Linked DNA regions of Coturnix japonica. The protein of the gene in region 2 binds, or shares a complex with, the protein of the main gene of each other region. Links are inferred from orthologs where the notes say so. Each region holds a gene or a part of one and is shown on either strand. Other genes may lie near its edges.

Region 1 (4,090 bases), on a different chromosome or scaffold from region 2:
CCTCAACACCCAACAGTTCTGATCAACTTCTCATCACAGTAGAAAAGGAAAGAGCTAAGAGAATGGCATGAATAGTATTAAGTGTTGATAAGACCAGGATGCTCCAAGATGCTGAAGATAGGAGATCTAAGTAGGGTAGGAAAGCGCCACTTTTCACATCAAATTATATCACTCACAAATCACGCAGAGATACATAAAAATATCAAGAAAGCAGCATATTTACCCAGTTTTTCTACACTGGAAATACCTTCAATCCAGATGGAGCTTTAATGACCACTCTCTGTAGCCCTTCCCAATAGTGCCTCGCAAAGAACCTACCAGGTGCCACTTCACAAGTCAAAGTGCTGGCTTGCAACAATCTAGTAATATGTAAACCCCTGTTATACATCTCTATCCAGAACAAAAGAACCCGTCGTCACTCAGGGCTCTAAAACCAGGAAGATGGAGATGACACTACATGCTGACACGGTTCTTTCTTCCTTACACCCATTTTCTCTTAATACACAGCAACAAGCAGAATGAGTCTGCATGTACTTAGTGTCCAACCAAGAGGAGAAGGTAATGCCAAGATGTCAGGGCCTGGACATGCATCTCACATATCATTATTGTACCAATGTATCTTAAAGTAACATTATCAACTTTAGCATGGCACAGGTGTCAACATTTTGGTCCAAAAGGCGAAAACCCAACACTTGATCTCATCCAACAGCTTAATACCTCTTTTCTCCCGGCACACCCCAGCACCGGTTCACTTTTCCATATAGGAACAACCCGCTCTGGTTACCACCCACAGCACAGCACCCCAGGAAACACCTCAGGAACAACATTCCACATCCTTCCCTTGCCCCAATGCTCAGCCTCTTGTGTCAAGCCACACACCAGGGACTCATCCCAAGCGTGACCCGAGGCGCTCAGCCCATCTCCCCTCAGCCCACAGCGCCGGCCCCACGCCTCGATGCCAGGCGTCGAAGGGCGAGGGCCATGTGCCGAGGGCATGGCGGGGCGGCCCAGGAGGGGGGCGGCGGGGTCGTGGGCGCGGTGGTTGGGAGGTGGAGCCTGGCTGCGGGCGCGGGGACCTCCGCTTCCCTCCCCCGTCGGCCTCTCACCTGGCGGGGCCGCCCCTCGCCAGGGGGCCGGTTCCGCGCGGGGTGCGGGCCTCCCGGCCGGCCCTCCCCGCCGATGGGCCGCGCGTTCGCCGCCAGCCGGCTCAGGCCCCAGCCGCCGCCGCCGCCTCCCCCTCCATGGCCGCCGCTCTCTCCGGCTGCATTGTGGGAAGCTGACCTCACTCGCTGCTGCCGCCGCCCCGCCGGCTCCGCCGCTCGCCGCCATGGGGGCCGTGACCGACGGTGAGACCTCCTCCCTCCTGCCCTCCCTCTCGCTGTCCCCGCTCCGGGTTTCTCACCCCGGGGAAGCCACGCACCCCTGCGCGGCGGCCTCACCCCGCATGGAGCGCTTCCAGGCCGCTCCGCTGCGCTCAGTGCCGGGGCCTGGGGCTCCATCGGGCCTCTCGGGCCCAGCCTCCCTGCCGATCCCAGGCCCCGCGTATTGAACGCGTTTTATTTCACCCACATTCTGCTGGGTGAGCTCCTGCCGTGCCACACGCTTCCAGCACGGAGCGCTAAACACGAGTTGTTTTTTTTCCCACAGATGAAGTTATCCGCAAACGGCTTCTCATTGATGGAGACGGAGCTGGGGACGACAGGCGGATCAATCTGCTGGTGAAGAGTTTCATCAAGTGGTGTAACTCTGGATCTCAGGAGGAAGGGTATTTGTTGGCTGTTTTTAAGTCTTGAAACCTCATTGCTTTGCAGTTGAGCATAAAACTGAGCATCTGTTTAGACAAAGAAAGTAAACTGTGTTAAAATGCATCCATTTGGGCTGGATGTGGCTCTGGGCTCCGGTGGTTGGCAACCTTGCACACAGGAGGGGGTTGAAACTAGATGATCATTACAGTCCTATTCATAGCCATTCTATGATCTCTGCTATGTTCAGCCCTGTGTGGTTCTCTGGACAAAGCCCAGGAGCTGTGGCAAGAAACATGCACTGGAGATGGGTCAAAAATTACAGAGCAAACCATCCTGAAATCTAACAGCGAAGGCTCTGGAGGTTGGCACGTTGCTTCACGATTCAGCAGTCCCATTATTACAGCAGGATCACGACTTGAGTGTTCCATTTGGTGGCTCTGCATTTGTTCTGTTAGGTGGGGGCTGTGCTGCTTCTGCTGTACTGCCCTGAAAAGAAAGAAGAAAACAAACAGGCCAAAGAACTAAAGGTTAAGCAACATGTTGTTCTGCAGTAGGGTCTGTGCCGATGCTGGAGTGCAGGAGGGCACTCTGTGATGATGCTGTGCACAGAGAAGCACTGGAGTGTTAAAATATTAATCGTGGTGGGCACAGAGCTGGCTCTAGTTGGGAAGAGTATCATCCCTGGAGCAATCTGCCCATGCTGTAATGCTGCTTTATACCTTTATGATGATAAAATTAATCGGTGCAGCATTCATTTTTAACTGTACTTTTTGCAGTTGTGCACTGAATCTTTGAAGTCCTTTATTGCTTTAGTAATTGCTGTTTTAACTGTTCCGTACATTACCTGAGGCTTCATTTTCCTCGTGATATAAAAACAGGCAGGTATTTTCATGCTGCTGAGGAATAAATGTCTTGTTTGCTTTCAGTTACAGTCAGTACCAACGAATGCTGAGTACTTTATCGCAGTGTGAATTTTCAATGGGAAAAACTCTTCTGGTGTATGACATGAACCTGAGAGAGATGGAAAATTATGAAAAGATCTACAAGGATATAGGTAAAAAATGAGAAAAAAAATATTCTATGCTTATTTGAATTTCTCTTTCATAAAGAAACTCAAGTCAGTTCTGATAAACAAAATGTAAACATGAGATGGGTGACAGAAAAACTATTTTAATACCACTCATACTTGCCCTCGTGTTTTGTCAGTGTGTAAAATGTGTATAAGTAAAATATGTTTTTAGTCTGTCAAGGCATAGATGGTTTTGAAGCCCGTGGAGATAGCAGGCAGTATAAAATACAAAGTGCTGTTTGTGATGATTTAGCTGAATGGATTGATGGCGTTTGTTGTTTGATTTGTGTCTTTCTGTTAAAGAAAATAGTATAGCTGCAGCACACGAGAAGATTTCTGAATGCAAGAAACAAATCCTGCAAGCAAAAAGAATTAGAAAGAATCGCCAGGGTAAGCAGCATTATCTACACTGGGTGGTTTTATTAATGTGTTATCTTTTAAAATACATTGTACTGGAAAACAGATGACATATTTCTTGAAAACTCAGAAGAAAATGCTCTCCATCGATGCTACATAGAGCATTATCTGGTAGGTTCCACACAGACTGCTGAAAGTTTGGTTGTTGAGGTTAAGGCAGTAAATCTTAGTGATGTAACATGAGGAGAACTTAGAGAGTAGCTCAGAGGTGTTCTCAAGCCAAAGAAACCCTCCCAAGCATCCTTTGACAATTCAGTTGGCTTAAGAACTAAAGCACATTAGTAGCAGCAAGACAAAAGAGTTAAATAAGCTTACAACCAACACTGAAAGTTATATAAGTATATTCCTTCAGCTCTTTAGAAGGAAAAGTAGTACCTAATACAAGAACAGTTGTACCAGTTGCATACTCATTTTACATGGCCTTGCAAAATACCTCTAAACCAGGTATTACAGACATCTGTTCCTTATCCTTAAAAGACATACTGATATTTTTAGTTGAAATTTAAAACATTGCCCTGTAAGTCTTATCAAAATTTAGCAATTGGGAAGGTAAAATTTTGCTTCCTAAAAAGTGAAATGTAAAAATAGTTGAAAAGAAAGAAAGAAAGACCAGCTGTAACAGGTGAAAGGTTTTAAAACCTTTAAAAACACATGCACATATGATTTGTGGATAATGTTAGACTCTATTATTAGAGACTGAAAAAAGCCTTAAGCAGTAGGAAAGTAGAGTACTTAAATCTTCACAAGCACGGATCTGAAGTGTTTGCTTTTGAAGATGTTCTGCCCACGTTTTCCATCTGAATGTGGTGGTTAGTGTACATAGAATAGTACCTTCAAGAACTGTCCACCTTAACTGTCT
Region 2 (3,559 bases):
CTGCAGCACCCCATTGAAAATGCAGGATGTTTCTCATGCCTTAAATAGAGTTCATCCTTTCTCCCAGCCTATGTGAGTGGGTGTGAGTGCTGAGGGTGGTTCTTGTGTGTGCTTTGGGGGCTTCCAACTTGTTTCCCATCATTGCTTAAGGAACTCAGGGCTGCTGAAGGCACTCACTGAGCTAGGAGGAGAACTGGTGGCTGTGTCTTCACCAGCTCATTTGTTTCCTTACACAGCTCAGACCTCAGACTCCAGCATCACTGTCAGGGCTCTCAGCCTGCTCTTGTAACAGGGATGCTGACTGTTCCTCTTGAGAACAGAGCTTGACTTGAGGTGATGCTGGGTTTAGGAGGAGAGCCCTGATCTCTCTCTCATTGAGATGTGCTAATGGGAATTCTGACTGATGTTTCTCTTTCCCAACACTTGTAGGAGCACTGAAAAGAAAGTAGTGAAAATAACATCAGAAATCTCACAGATGGAGGTAAGGTTCCTTCTGCTGCTTCACCCTCATCCCCAAGGTATCACTTGGCTTGTTTGCTTCATTCAGAGTCTCTTTTTTTTTTTTACATTGCTGAGGCTTTGTCAGTGTTTGCACACATTGCAAACCATTATTTTGGCTTGGTTAATTAATTGGTTATTAATGACCAGGCTGCGGCTGCGGGCTGACCTAGCAGCAGCATGCTGACCCCACAGCACGTTCCGTTTTGCTGTGATCTTATGGAATGCTTCTCTCTGCAGTCTGGAGGTGCATCCTTCCTTGCTGCCATTTCTGACCCTACGTCGATATTTCCAACTTAGAGACAAGCTGAGCTGCTCCTGGTGCATCCTTCCATTGCAAAGATGGCTTAGTCTGATAGATATACACTGTCCCATTATAACTCCACTGTCTAAATTGTGCTGCCCTTCCTGCTGCAACATTCCCTGCAGTGATCCCCATCTGTGTCCCTCAGGGCTTGCTGTAAGCCTGCTTGCTTCAAACACCAAACTACAAAGCTTTGCTGAGGATATCCTTCAGGGAGCAATGAGTTTGGGAGACACTAACAGATCATCTCATCTTTATCTTCTGTAGCTTTGTCACTTGTATTTGCTGGGCTTATTTAAAACAAACACGCTTAGAAGCCTCTGATTCCTCTGGGAAAGCTTTGTGAAACTCAAAGTTTCAGGGATCTCACTCTGGTTCTCTAATCACCCCCCCCCCCCATTTTAGTTTTCCACTCGTGCTCCGTAAGAAAGCAGTCAGTATGAAAACATGATTCTTGTCTTCCTGCTGTTCGCTGCTGCTTTCGAGCTCTAATCTCCTGTTTGGGACAGGAGCATTTCCACAGCAACCACAGGGGGATGTCGCAAGCAGAGGATTATGACCTCAGCTGAAGGAGTAATGAAGAGCAACGTGGTACCTGGTGGAGGATTGATGTCCCCCTGTGATTCAGGGCTGCCCTTGGCCATAGCAGCTTAAAGAGCTCATTAACAGACCTGCTGACGTTACACACTCATCCTTTGTTGGGTTTTATTCCCCCCCCCTTCAAATTCCATAGAGCCAAATGAAAGGAAAACCACTGTTTTGGTATTTTATGGGGCTGTGTATGAACTGAATGGCTTCCAGCATCATTCAGATCTGTTAGAAGAGAGCATCGAGTTATTTATTCCATACGGTGCATCGTTGATTGTTGGAGGTGGGCTGCTCAAGTTGTAGGAAATATTGACCACTTCATAAAGCAAGGAGGCAGGTGACTGGCAGAGAAGCCCAACGAATCTTTGCCAATTGCCAAGCCTACTCTTGTTGAGACTATTATATGCTATACATGTTTAATACTTCTGAACATCAGGACCCATAGGACTGACAGGAGGAGGGCTACCTTCAGTCATTGCGCCTGGTTATATGGCTAAATAAATATTAGCTGGCTTTGCTTTACCTGTTTTCAGCAATAGCAGAATATTGAAAGGCTTCATTCACTGATGGAAGGTCAGAGGGGTCATTTCTTTGTGGGATGATCTGAGCTGTGCTGCCACTGCCTTCTATTGGGCTGTTGATCCAGCATGGCTTTTGTGTGGCCGCCCACTCTATTGGATATTTCTTTTGGATACCCTTCAAAGAGCGAGGATAAGGAAGTGTGCTTTGACCTGAGCGGTGCCACGTCTTTCTGTCTTCCAAGTGACTTCTCAGCTTCGGCGCTGACACCATTAGGAGTGACATTCCTAACCCATCTTCTCCAAACATTTATGTTTTGATGCAGATGTTTATTGCGCTCCTCGCTGAGCTTTTGGCCAAAGGAAATGTTTCCCTGAATATCGTATCTTGTTTCTCTAATCTCTAAAACACCAAACGCATTTCTGGGCCCTTGTGTAATAACAGAATGTGAGATATTTCCTTTCAGCTTTTAAAGGGGATTCGAATGGTTTTTTGGTGCACTTCTGATGTCCCCAAGCCTCTCTGTGTCTCGGGCACACGCACATGGAAGCGTTCGCCCATCCCTTATTAAGTCCATGTGCCTCTTTCCATTTCCTCTCTATAGACTTCCAGTCCTCACTCTCCTTCTCTGGATTCTTTTTCTCCCACCTCCAGAGAATGCAGAAGAGAGCTGAGCGCTTCAACGTGCCCGTGAGCCTGGAGAGCAAGAAGGCAGCGCGTGCAGCTCGGTGAGTCCCCCATCCTCACCTGGCACAGGCAGCAGCTGCATTGCTGCAATGAGGCTGTTTTCCCTTTGAAACAAGTGAGGAATTGCTGTTGGCACATATAGGAATTACTGTGGTAGCTCCATTAGCCAGTAATACCCACATCCCAGCTCCTCTCAAGCAGTCGGACTGAGGTACACTTAAGCATTTGGAGGAAGAGTCTGTGCTGTGCTTACTGAAGGCTTGATGTATTAGATACCCACCTCATGTTTGCTTGGGTCTCTCACTGAGCTCTGTTTGCTTTCTGCAGGTTTGGTTTGGCCACAGTTTCGACAAAAGGTGAGAAGGTGAAGCTGAACCAATTCATGGAGTGACCTTACTGCAAATATTTATTTATTCCTGGGAAAGAAAAAGTTGCTGGTGAGGCTGTCTTTGTTTTACCATCTGTCCACGCCCAGGGTTTCTGAGCAGGAGTTGTAGAGCTGGGATGAAAAGCATGTGAAAAGTCTTATGGGTGGGAAAAGCTGACTTGGGGATGACATTTGGAGGCTCATCCTTGAGTGAATGGTGTGGAAAGAGGGAGAAATGGGACAGCAGGTCTTCACTGGTCAGACTGGTGTGCGCTTCCAGCAGTGCTGTGACTTCATTGCTCCTCTTCTCAGATCAATTGCTGCTCCAGATATTTGCTCTCTAACTGAGTTTTCTGTTTTCTTCTCATCTCAGGCCTCTCTGCAGACAGCAAACCTACGGTAAGAGATGCTTCTTGTTCCTAAATTGGTTGTTCTGAGCAGTCTGGGTTCTGCTTTCAGGCCCAGCTTCCCAGCAGCACCAGCTGAGTTTTGGGGGAGCACAGCACTGGGGTTGTATTCTGGGGGCTGCAGCACAACCTTCTCCCCACAATGTGAGCGACAGTGATTTACAAACCAGTTTCCTGTGTCTTTGTAGG

Evidence for each region. Proteins that work in one complex are often made in the same cells at the same time.
Region 1: SARNP (region 2) and THOC7 share a complex: the UniProt entries of both Homo sapiens proteins name them as parts of the transcription/export (TREX) complex. The link is inferred for Coturnix japonica from reciprocal best matches to the Homo sapiens genes SARNP and THOC7.

The regions. Positions count from the first base shown.
Region 1 is NC_029527.1:10,990,586-10,994,675, reverse strand, and holds the start of THOC7 (THO complex subunit 7 homolog), read left to right. Parts: upstream 1-1,236; 5' UTR 1,237-1,327; coding exon 1,328-1,346; intron 1,347-1,647; coding exon 1,648-1,765; intron 1,766-2,671; coding exon 2,672-2,799; intron 2,800-3,117; coding exon 3,118-3,204; intron 3,205-4,090. UniProt on the Homo sapiens protein: Component of the THO subcomplex of the TREX complex which is thought to couple mRNA transcription, processing and nuclear export, and which specifically associates with spliced mRNA and not with unspliced pre-mRNA.
Region 2 is NC_029544.1:1,006,866-1,010,424, forward strand, and holds part of SARNP (SAP domain-containing ribonucleoprotein), read left to right. Parts: intron 1-429; coding exon 430-481; intron 482-2,563; coding exon 2,564-2,637; intron 2,638-2,923; coding exon 2,924-2,952; intron 2,953-3,336; coding exon 3,337-3,362; intron 3,363-3,558; coding exon 3,559-3,559. UniProt on the Homo sapiens protein: Binds both single-stranded and double-stranded DNA with higher affinity for the single-stranded form. Specifically binds to scaffold/matrix attachment region DNA. Also binds single-stranded RNA. Enhances RNA unwinding activity of DDX39A.